Cricetulus griseus: one gene and its partner. The protein of the gene in region 2 interacts with the protein of the main gene of each other region in a biochemical or structural test. Links are inferred from orthologs where the notes say so. Each region holds a gene or a part of one and is shown on either strand. Other genes may lie near its edges.

The links. The genes of interacting proteins can lie anywhere in the genome.
Region 1: the proteins of Mmp2 (region 2) and Timp4 form a complex in vitro, tested with the Homo sapiens proteins (2 studies listed by BioGRID). The link is inferred for Cricetulus griseus from reciprocal best matches to the Homo sapiens genes MMP2 and TIMP4.

The regions. Positions count from the first base shown.
Region 1 is NC_048601.1:29,591,961-29,596,359, reverse strand, and holds the start of Timp4 (metalloproteinase inhibitor 4), read right to left. Parts: upstream 2,822-4,399; coding exon 2,683-2,821; intron 1,518-2,682; coding exon 1,420-1,517; intron 1,007-1,419; coding exon 892-1,006; intron 1-891. UniProt on the Homo sapiens protein: Complexes with metalloproteinases (such as collagenases) and irreversibly inactivates them by binding to their catalytic zinc cofactor. Known to act on MMP-1, MMP-2, MMP-3, MMP-7 and MMP-9.
Region 2 is NC_048596.1:168,546,718-168,550,362, reverse strand, and holds part of Mmp2 (72 kDa type IV collagenase), read right to left. Parts: intron 1,332-3,645; coding exon 1,158-1,331; intron 978-1,157; coding exon 804-977; intron 1-803.

The DNA.
Region 1 (4,399 bases), on a different chromosome or scaffold from region 2:
AGTGCCTCAGTGAGGGTGAGACCCACAAAGTGGGTGCTCAGCAAAGGGGTGGAGTATCAAGAGATGTAAAGAGACTAGTCTGCTTATGAAGGAACTGGAAGATACAGTGACATGTCCTGTCTCTGTAGAGGCTGCCCAGGGCAGCACAATCCTGCATCCTTAGAGCTGAGGAGCCCCTTTCATTGTGTCCTCTAGTTCCTGTCACTCACTCTTCAAGAGCCGTGTCTAGACTATGAAGTCTTTGAGACTATGACCTATTCCTGAATCTCCACTTTACTGCCCAGGCCTGGCAGTATATAGTAGATAGTCATCCACTGGCTCCCTGGATAGAGTGGAGCTCCTTCCTGTTCTCCCTGTGGTCAGGGACTTTTGTTTTCCTTGATCCTTGACTGATGTTTTCCATCTTGTAGGCCAGCGTAGAGCTTACTCAAACAGTGAAGCTTCCCTACCTGTTCACAACCACACCAGCACCCCTTTCTCAGAATTCCATAATACTTTAGTACTGTGTCTATTTATTCCCCCAAAATATTCTTAGGTATACTGGATGGATGGCTCGTTTACTGTTCTGTCTCAACTAGTTCAGTATGGAGGAGGCTGGTTCGCTGAGGTAGAATTGTAGAGTCAAGCTTGTACACAGGGCAGAAATAGATACACAGGAAACACCTTCAGGAGACGTATTTGGGCTCAAGATGCCAAAAGTCTCTTACCAGTTAATGCTTTCAAAATGGAACTAGCTATCTTAGATTGGTAGAGCAATCTTTCCTTAAAATAGTGGAGCAGTGGCCAAGATTGCTGTAATGGGGACTCCTGTGTTGAAAGGGAGTTTCATTGCTCCCCCCCAACTAAAAGGCCATGGTCACTATCACAACTCTGCTTAGCCCCTTAACTTACCAGTTAAAAGATATTGCTTCTGGCTGTTGGTTTCTAGTTTCACACCACAGAGAGATGAGTCAAATGGTGTGTAGACATACTGAACATCCTTGGCCTTCTCGAACCCTTTAAACATCTGAAAGACAGTTACAGAAGAGCAGCAGTGCATCAGGGCAGGGCAGCAGGTTAAAAGATGCTCATTTCTTTCCAAACGTTAAGCAAAAGTCAAATTCAAGTTGGGTGCACAGATGACCTCACTGGTGTGTTTGTTTATTTTTAAATAAGTCTAAACCTTGATTTATTCCAGGGAGGTGGGGAGGTCCCACGGACAAAGAGCTATAGGACAGGCTAGACAGTGAGTCCCCACCCTGAACAGTCACTTGGTTCCTATGGTTCCTGCCCATACTAGTTCATATAGTTCCCCTTCATCACCTTCCTCAGGAGACCTGAGTCTGTTACCTGACTCTCACCAGGTTCATCCCTCCCATAGCACAAGCCCCACCCCTCCATCAGACCATCATGGCTCAGCCCCAGTCCTGCCCCATGTACCTTTATCTGTTTGATTTCATACCGGATCATTTTTTGAGTGTCAGTAGGGTCTTCACTGGCAGGAACTACCTTCTCACTGGAGATTTTGGCCCGGATTACTGCACAGGGAAAAAAGTGTGGGGGAGAGGGGGACTTCAGCACTGTGGGAGTGTGCAGTCTCAGGTCTGGATGGCCTGGAGTCCTCTGAGTATCCAGAGACTGGCTCACATGTTTTTGGGTTCTTAGCAGTATGATGTATATGAGAGAAGGGGCTTGGAATTTATTCTGCAGTGGTTGCCAGGCTTCAAATCCTTTGGGGTTATTAGGTCCTTAAACTGTGTTTTGTCTGCCTTTTAACCTGTCAGTTTCTAGAGCTCAAGTTCTCCATAGCCCTGGGTGTATCGAGCAGAAAATAGGAGTCCTTTCAAGGCAATTGGTACCAGACCTGTCTATTGATACATCTTAGAACCTCATAACACACCTACAACTGATAGTAGATAATGTTTATGGAATTTGTAAATATCCTCACTCCCCACTGAGGAAGTTCATCTCTTGCTATCTAATCAAGAACTGTTTTTGTTTGTTTGTTTGTTTGTTTTCCTGTATTGAATGGTGAACCTAAAGCCTCACACAGGAGAGTCAAACACTCTGTCACTGAGCTACAGTCCCGGCCCTGGAAATTTTGTTTAAAAAGTTCTTGCTCTCTGTCTGACCTTGCACTAGGCATTAGGCTCATTGACAGCGTCATCGTCCTGCAGAAGATGGAGAACACTTTATAAAAAAAAAATCAGCATCCACTAGAAAGGGGGCAGCAAGGAATCAAAAAGCCTTTAGAAAATGAAGGGTGAATAGTAGTTTGCCAGGAAGTCAAAAGTGTGAAAGAGGGGTATCCACGTAGTGGGAGAGAAAGGACAAAAGGTGTTAAGTCCTGAGGTGGCAACTTCAACTGCAGGCAAGGAGGCAGGTGTTACAGTGCAAATGCCCCACCCGTTAGGAGTTCTGAAACTTATTAGATAGCTCTAGTGACAGCTAGGGTCCATCAAGCTGAGCTGACAGGGACTACTCTGGAGATCTATGATAGAATATTTATTCTCCTACAAATCAGACTTTGTACTTCCAAGGTCAACAAAGCAACAGCATGTCTGACCTATCAGCTGCAGCAGGAGGCACCCGTCCAGGGTCGGAGCTCCACCCCTTCCCTCAGATTCCAGGTCTACAGCTTTGCCCAACACCAGTTTTCCCACAGGCAACCCCTGTTGTGGTCTTCAAGAGCCACGGACTCACCTAGAGCTGAGTGGCAGACGTGCTGCTGGGGGTGCGCAGGAGCGCAGGTGCACGCCTCACCCAGCCCCGGGGGCCGCAGCAATGCCAGCAGCCGCAGCACCAGCGCCCAGCTCAGCGCATCTAGGGAGCTCCAGGGCATGACACTGCAGAGCCCCAGCTGAGCTCGTGGGGTCTGCCTGTCGTAACAAACAGCCCCTCCAGGACTCCTCCAGAAAGCCTAGTGCAGTCCAGTCTTTATGAGGTGGCTTTAGGGCCAATCCCGCCCTTCATGGGCTCCTCCCTCCTTTGGCAGCAGGCCACCCACAGCCGCAGGACCCAAGGCCCTCTTGACCAGACCGACAGACCCAGTAATGCAGAGGGAAGCGGGCAGATTCCGAAAGAGGCAGCAGCCTGAACGGAGATGGAAGACACAGTGTTGAGGGCAGAGAGAGAAAAGCAAAGACCAGCGCAGACACAAGAAGGCTCAAAGATGAGGGACTGAGGCTCCTGCAAGAGGAGCAAGTGAGGGGGAGGCATAGACACAGGAAGACACAAGCCAAGTCAGAGGCAGACAGAATTACAACAGGCAAAAGAGACAGTGACAGAGGAGGACGGACCCCTCGCTGAGCTGCATACTGGGAATGAGACAAGCTACTCAGGGCTTCTTTCAGCCGCAGGAAGTGTTTTCAATGCCCTATTTATGAGGCTCCAAAGCAACAGCAAACAGTCAGGGAACAGGACAGACAAAGTTGGGGTGTGTGTGTGTCTTGGCGCTGTCGGCTAGGGGGTGGGGAAGGATGTCAGAGAAAGTAGCCAGTGCTTTAAAACCCTTTCTCACAGCCGGAGCCTCAGGCTGCAGAGAGTTGAGGGCAGTTCTTTCCATAGAGCTTAAAACCAGGGTGTCCAGTTGGTCAGGGCAAACTTTGGGCTTCTAAGCTCCTACTGCACATCATTGCCCCCTGGAGACGCCATGTTGCAGAAGGTGGAGCCGCTTAGCAAACAAGCCAGGCACTCCGGTCATTGTGACCCAAGCCTTGTCCACTGTTTGTCAGCAAAGCGCTCCAAGAATCTGAATGAAAAGAAATTCGTGGAGTGACTGCCTCAGGGAGAGCTGGAGGCTGGGTCCTGATTCTGGCTGCCACTGGGTCGTTTTGTGATCTTTGCCTCTTTGGGCCCCAACTTTTTCCTCCATAAAATAACACTGAATTACATAATTCCTCCCTTTCTTCATTTTACAGTCCAGAGCATCAAACCCACATTTCTGATCACAACAACACTCCATTTTTTCATTATAAAATCTGACTTTTCCCTTCTAGTGACAGCTATGTCCTTGAGAAGACACCAGTTAGATGGCAATGGCGATGTTTGAAAAGAAGGGAGTTGGGAGAGAACAAAATCAGACAGAGACAGGTGGTAGGTCCAGGTGTCTAGAGTCTTTCTTCACACAATGCTCAGACCAAGATTGAGTTGTCACTCGGGGGAGGGGGGGTCTTAAAAGAATCTGCCCAGTCTTGTCACTTGACAGATGTGAGGGCTAAGAGGTTCAGTGCCATGAGGTGACTGGCAGGTGAGTGGCAGAGAGAGCTAGAATCTTCATCTGACAGTGTGCTGTCTGTTGCTCCCCTTACCCCATCATGTTCCTACTTGGGCCTGCATTTTGTTGCCGCTCAAAATCCTGCCTTTGGAGGGTCCTTCTTCCTTTAAGTCTTATTCCTCCTCTGTTGAAACAAGGCTACTT
Region 2 (3,645 bases):
CCGTCCTGATTATTTGAATGTCTTTGGGGTACCTGAAACCTGAAGCCCTGGGCCTCTGGGCGCTGAAAGATAGGCCCAAAGCACCCTGCTCAGTTCTGACAACAGTAAGGTCACTACTGACTGTTTTCTGTTGCCTGCCTGGAAAGGTGGCTGGAGTGGAAGGCAAGAATGGAAAGAGCATGGCAGATACCCACCAAGGATCAGTGGCTAGTAATAGGGTCTCACTTTGGAAACTGTGTAAATGTTTGCCTGAATTGGCTGGTCCTAAGCAAGAAACCTGTCTTCACTGTGGCTGAGCAGAGTCTCTGCTCAGATGGGGAGGTCTGAGAGCACAATGGGGTATCTTGTTGTAGTGGTTTGAAAGACAATGGGCCCCAAAGGGAGTAGCACTATTAGGTGAGGTCTTGATGGAGGAAGTATGTCACTGTGGGGGCAGGCTTTGAGGTCTCTTTTGCTCAAGCTTTCCTCAGTGTGACTGTTAGTGGACTTCAGTGTGACTGTAGGTCAACTTCCTGTTGCCTGCAAGATGTAGCACTCTCGGCTGCAGCACGACATCTGCCTGCACGCTGCTGTGCTCCCCTTCATGATGATAATAGACTGAACCTCTGAAAGTGTAAGCAAGCCATGCCAGATGGTTTCTTTGTAAGAGTTGCCGTGGGCATGGTGTCTCTTCACAGCAATAAAAACCCTAAGACACTTGTCTAGGGACAATGTCTGATCTGAAAATAGTCTGACCCTCAGAATAGTCTAGCTCAGGTGTGGAGGAGTGTCTGGTGTCTCTACCAAAAGCCAGGGCTTCATACCTTGGTCAGGACAGAAGCCCCACTTCCGGTCATCATCATAGGTAGCTGTGGTCGCACACCATATTTTCCCATCATTGCGACCGGCACTGGTGCAGCTCTCATATTTGTTGCCCAGGAAAGTGAAGGGGAAGACACATGGAGCACCTTCTGAATTTCCTCCCACAGTGGACATAGCTGTTGGGTAAGGAACACAGGTCAAGGGGCAGCAGAGGATCTAAGGCCACTACCAGGAAACAAAGACAAGATATTGACATTAACATACACTCACTGGAAAGGGATGCTGTGTGTGGACAAGTGGGTATTGAATGGCAAAATGCTTGCCTCTGAGGGTCAGAGAGAGGCAGTGATACCCACCGGTCTCTGGGCAGAATCCATATTTCTTATCTCGGTCATAGTCCTCAGTGGTGCCACACCAGCGGTAGCCGTCTGTGCGGCCCTCGGTGGTACAGCTGTTGTAGGAAGTGCCCTGGAAACGGAACGGGAACTTGCAGGGCTGTCCATCTGCATTGCCTCCCATGGTAAATAAGGCTGGGGAAAGAAAGAGAGGAAGAAGATGCCACTGAGAGAGATGTCTGCCTGGGCAGAGCTGGCTAGTCAACCACTTGCTGGCTCATGCAAACCAAATGGTTGCTGTGTTAAAAATATTAATTACAAACAATCTCTAGGGAATAGAGAGATGGCTCTGCAGTTAAAAGCAACAGCTGCTCTTCCAGAGAATTCAAGTTTGGTTTCCAGCACCCAGGTCAGACAGTTCACAACCATTTGTAACTACAACTCTGGGGAATTTGATGCCTCTGACCTCGGAGGGTACCTGCACTCATGTGTACATACTCACATAAAGACCCACACACCTACACATAATTTAAAATGATAACATAAATCTAAAAGGCCACTTTCCCCTCATTATAGTGAAGATCTGCTCCTCCGAGAAAACTCCAGTCCTTTCTGGACAGTTTTACTGCTGCTGTGGCCCCTGCAGAATGGAGAGGAGAAGGAGGCAGGGACAGCTGTTGTCTAAGCCTCCCGTTCTGAGAACTGCAGGATAGGGCCATGACTGGAGAATAGAGAGCGGTAGAATCAAGGTCAGCCTGTCTGTCTTGGGCTCTTCCAAGCTTTCTGTCCCTCTATCCACTCCAGAGTTACAAAATGGTGTGGATCTGGAATTGCCAACTAGCAAAACCACAAGTACGTAACAAGGACCATCTGTGCACAGCAGTGCCAGAGGTGACATCACCAGGCCTGTTAACTCTACCACGGGCTGAATGGAGCCCAACCCCTGGCATCCCAATGCAGAACTTGGGGGTGGGGGTCTCTATCTTCAGTTCAACCCTAAACAAGAAACCTTTCCTAATGAAGCAGGAGGTGTGAGACCTAGGGAAGAGGTGAAACTGAGTCGAGACTCTGGATGATTTAGAGTGGGGAACAGCTAAGTGACCACTCGGATCCCACCAGCTGTGTTTCTGCCACCCAGAAGCCCATCTCCTCTGGGACCCACACGCCTCCCAAAGAGAAGGTTGGAGAGCAGACACTGAGTCAGCCATCAGGAGGGCCTGAGTAATCAGAATTTGCTGTTCCAAACCCAAACACGTGTGCACTGTGCGTACTTGCACCTGGCTAAGGACCAAAGAAATGGCCAGTGTCTGACACAGAGGGAACCTTTCCAAGCTCGTGAAGGTGGAGGCTGTTTCTGTATCTATCCATGAAGCCTGTTCTATCAGAAGGGCTGAATCAGAGGTTTCTGTCTTTCCTCGTGTCCTACTGGGAAATGCAAGACACAGACTTTTCTTTTAAAATCCCTGGTTTGCTAATAGTCAATTGCTTGAGTTTTAGTACATAGTTTAGCTTCAGTGGTAAAAGCATAAACAGGCTGTGGGTAGAGATCAGTGGTGGAGGAGAATGTGTCTAGCATGTGTGAGGCCATGGGTTGGATGTCTCAAAGAAAGAAGGAAAAGGAGAAATGTAAACAGGAAGACAACTAGAAACTCTTTGTTTCTTCCCTTCTGTCTGGATGATTGGTGCCAGTGTTGTTTTGCAATAGGGACAGGGAGAGTTGCAAACATACATACACAATTATATACAACTACAGTCCTTCCTCAACCCAAACAAACTGCCCTTAATTAGTCCATACCCCAGAGAGATTTTATGGGCTGGGGAATAAGCTAATACTTAGAAGTATGGCTGTATTTTCTCCCATTTCTCCAACATTTACTGGGCTTCTGATCTCTGGAACCATCAAGTGAGATGGCCTGACCAAATATGAAGTCGTGCATACTGTTAAAACGATTTATGATTAGAAAGCATATCCAGGATGTTTTCAAAGTTCCCCTTTCCGCACTTTTACCTCAAGTGATGGTAGATGGAGAAAAAACGTTTTTGAGCTTGAATGAGCACGGGGTGAACTCGCGAGCGCGCGCGCGCACGCACACACACACACACACACACACACACACACACACACACACACACACTGAGTAGAGCTAGGTGTCTTTGCCATGACACAAAGACAGAAATCAGAATTAGATGTCATAGCTGTGACCTCTTACACTGACTCTCAGTACAGTAGGACCAGTGTGGGAGAGAGGGCTAATACGCTCAGATTACAGACCCTACTTCAATCAAGGCTTGGACTGAGCCTTGTTCTCCTCCCACAGCTAAGCCTTCCATCCATCTCTGTGCCTCAACTCTCTTATCCTCCTGTTTTCCTGTCCTCCTGTTCTTGAGCCCTGGGTCTTGTTTGGAGTGCATAGTGGCCCTAGAAACAATCTAAGGTTATTCTCATGTGTGTTAGAAAAAAAATAATATACCAAATCCACAATTTCACAAATAATACTGCTAACAGTGA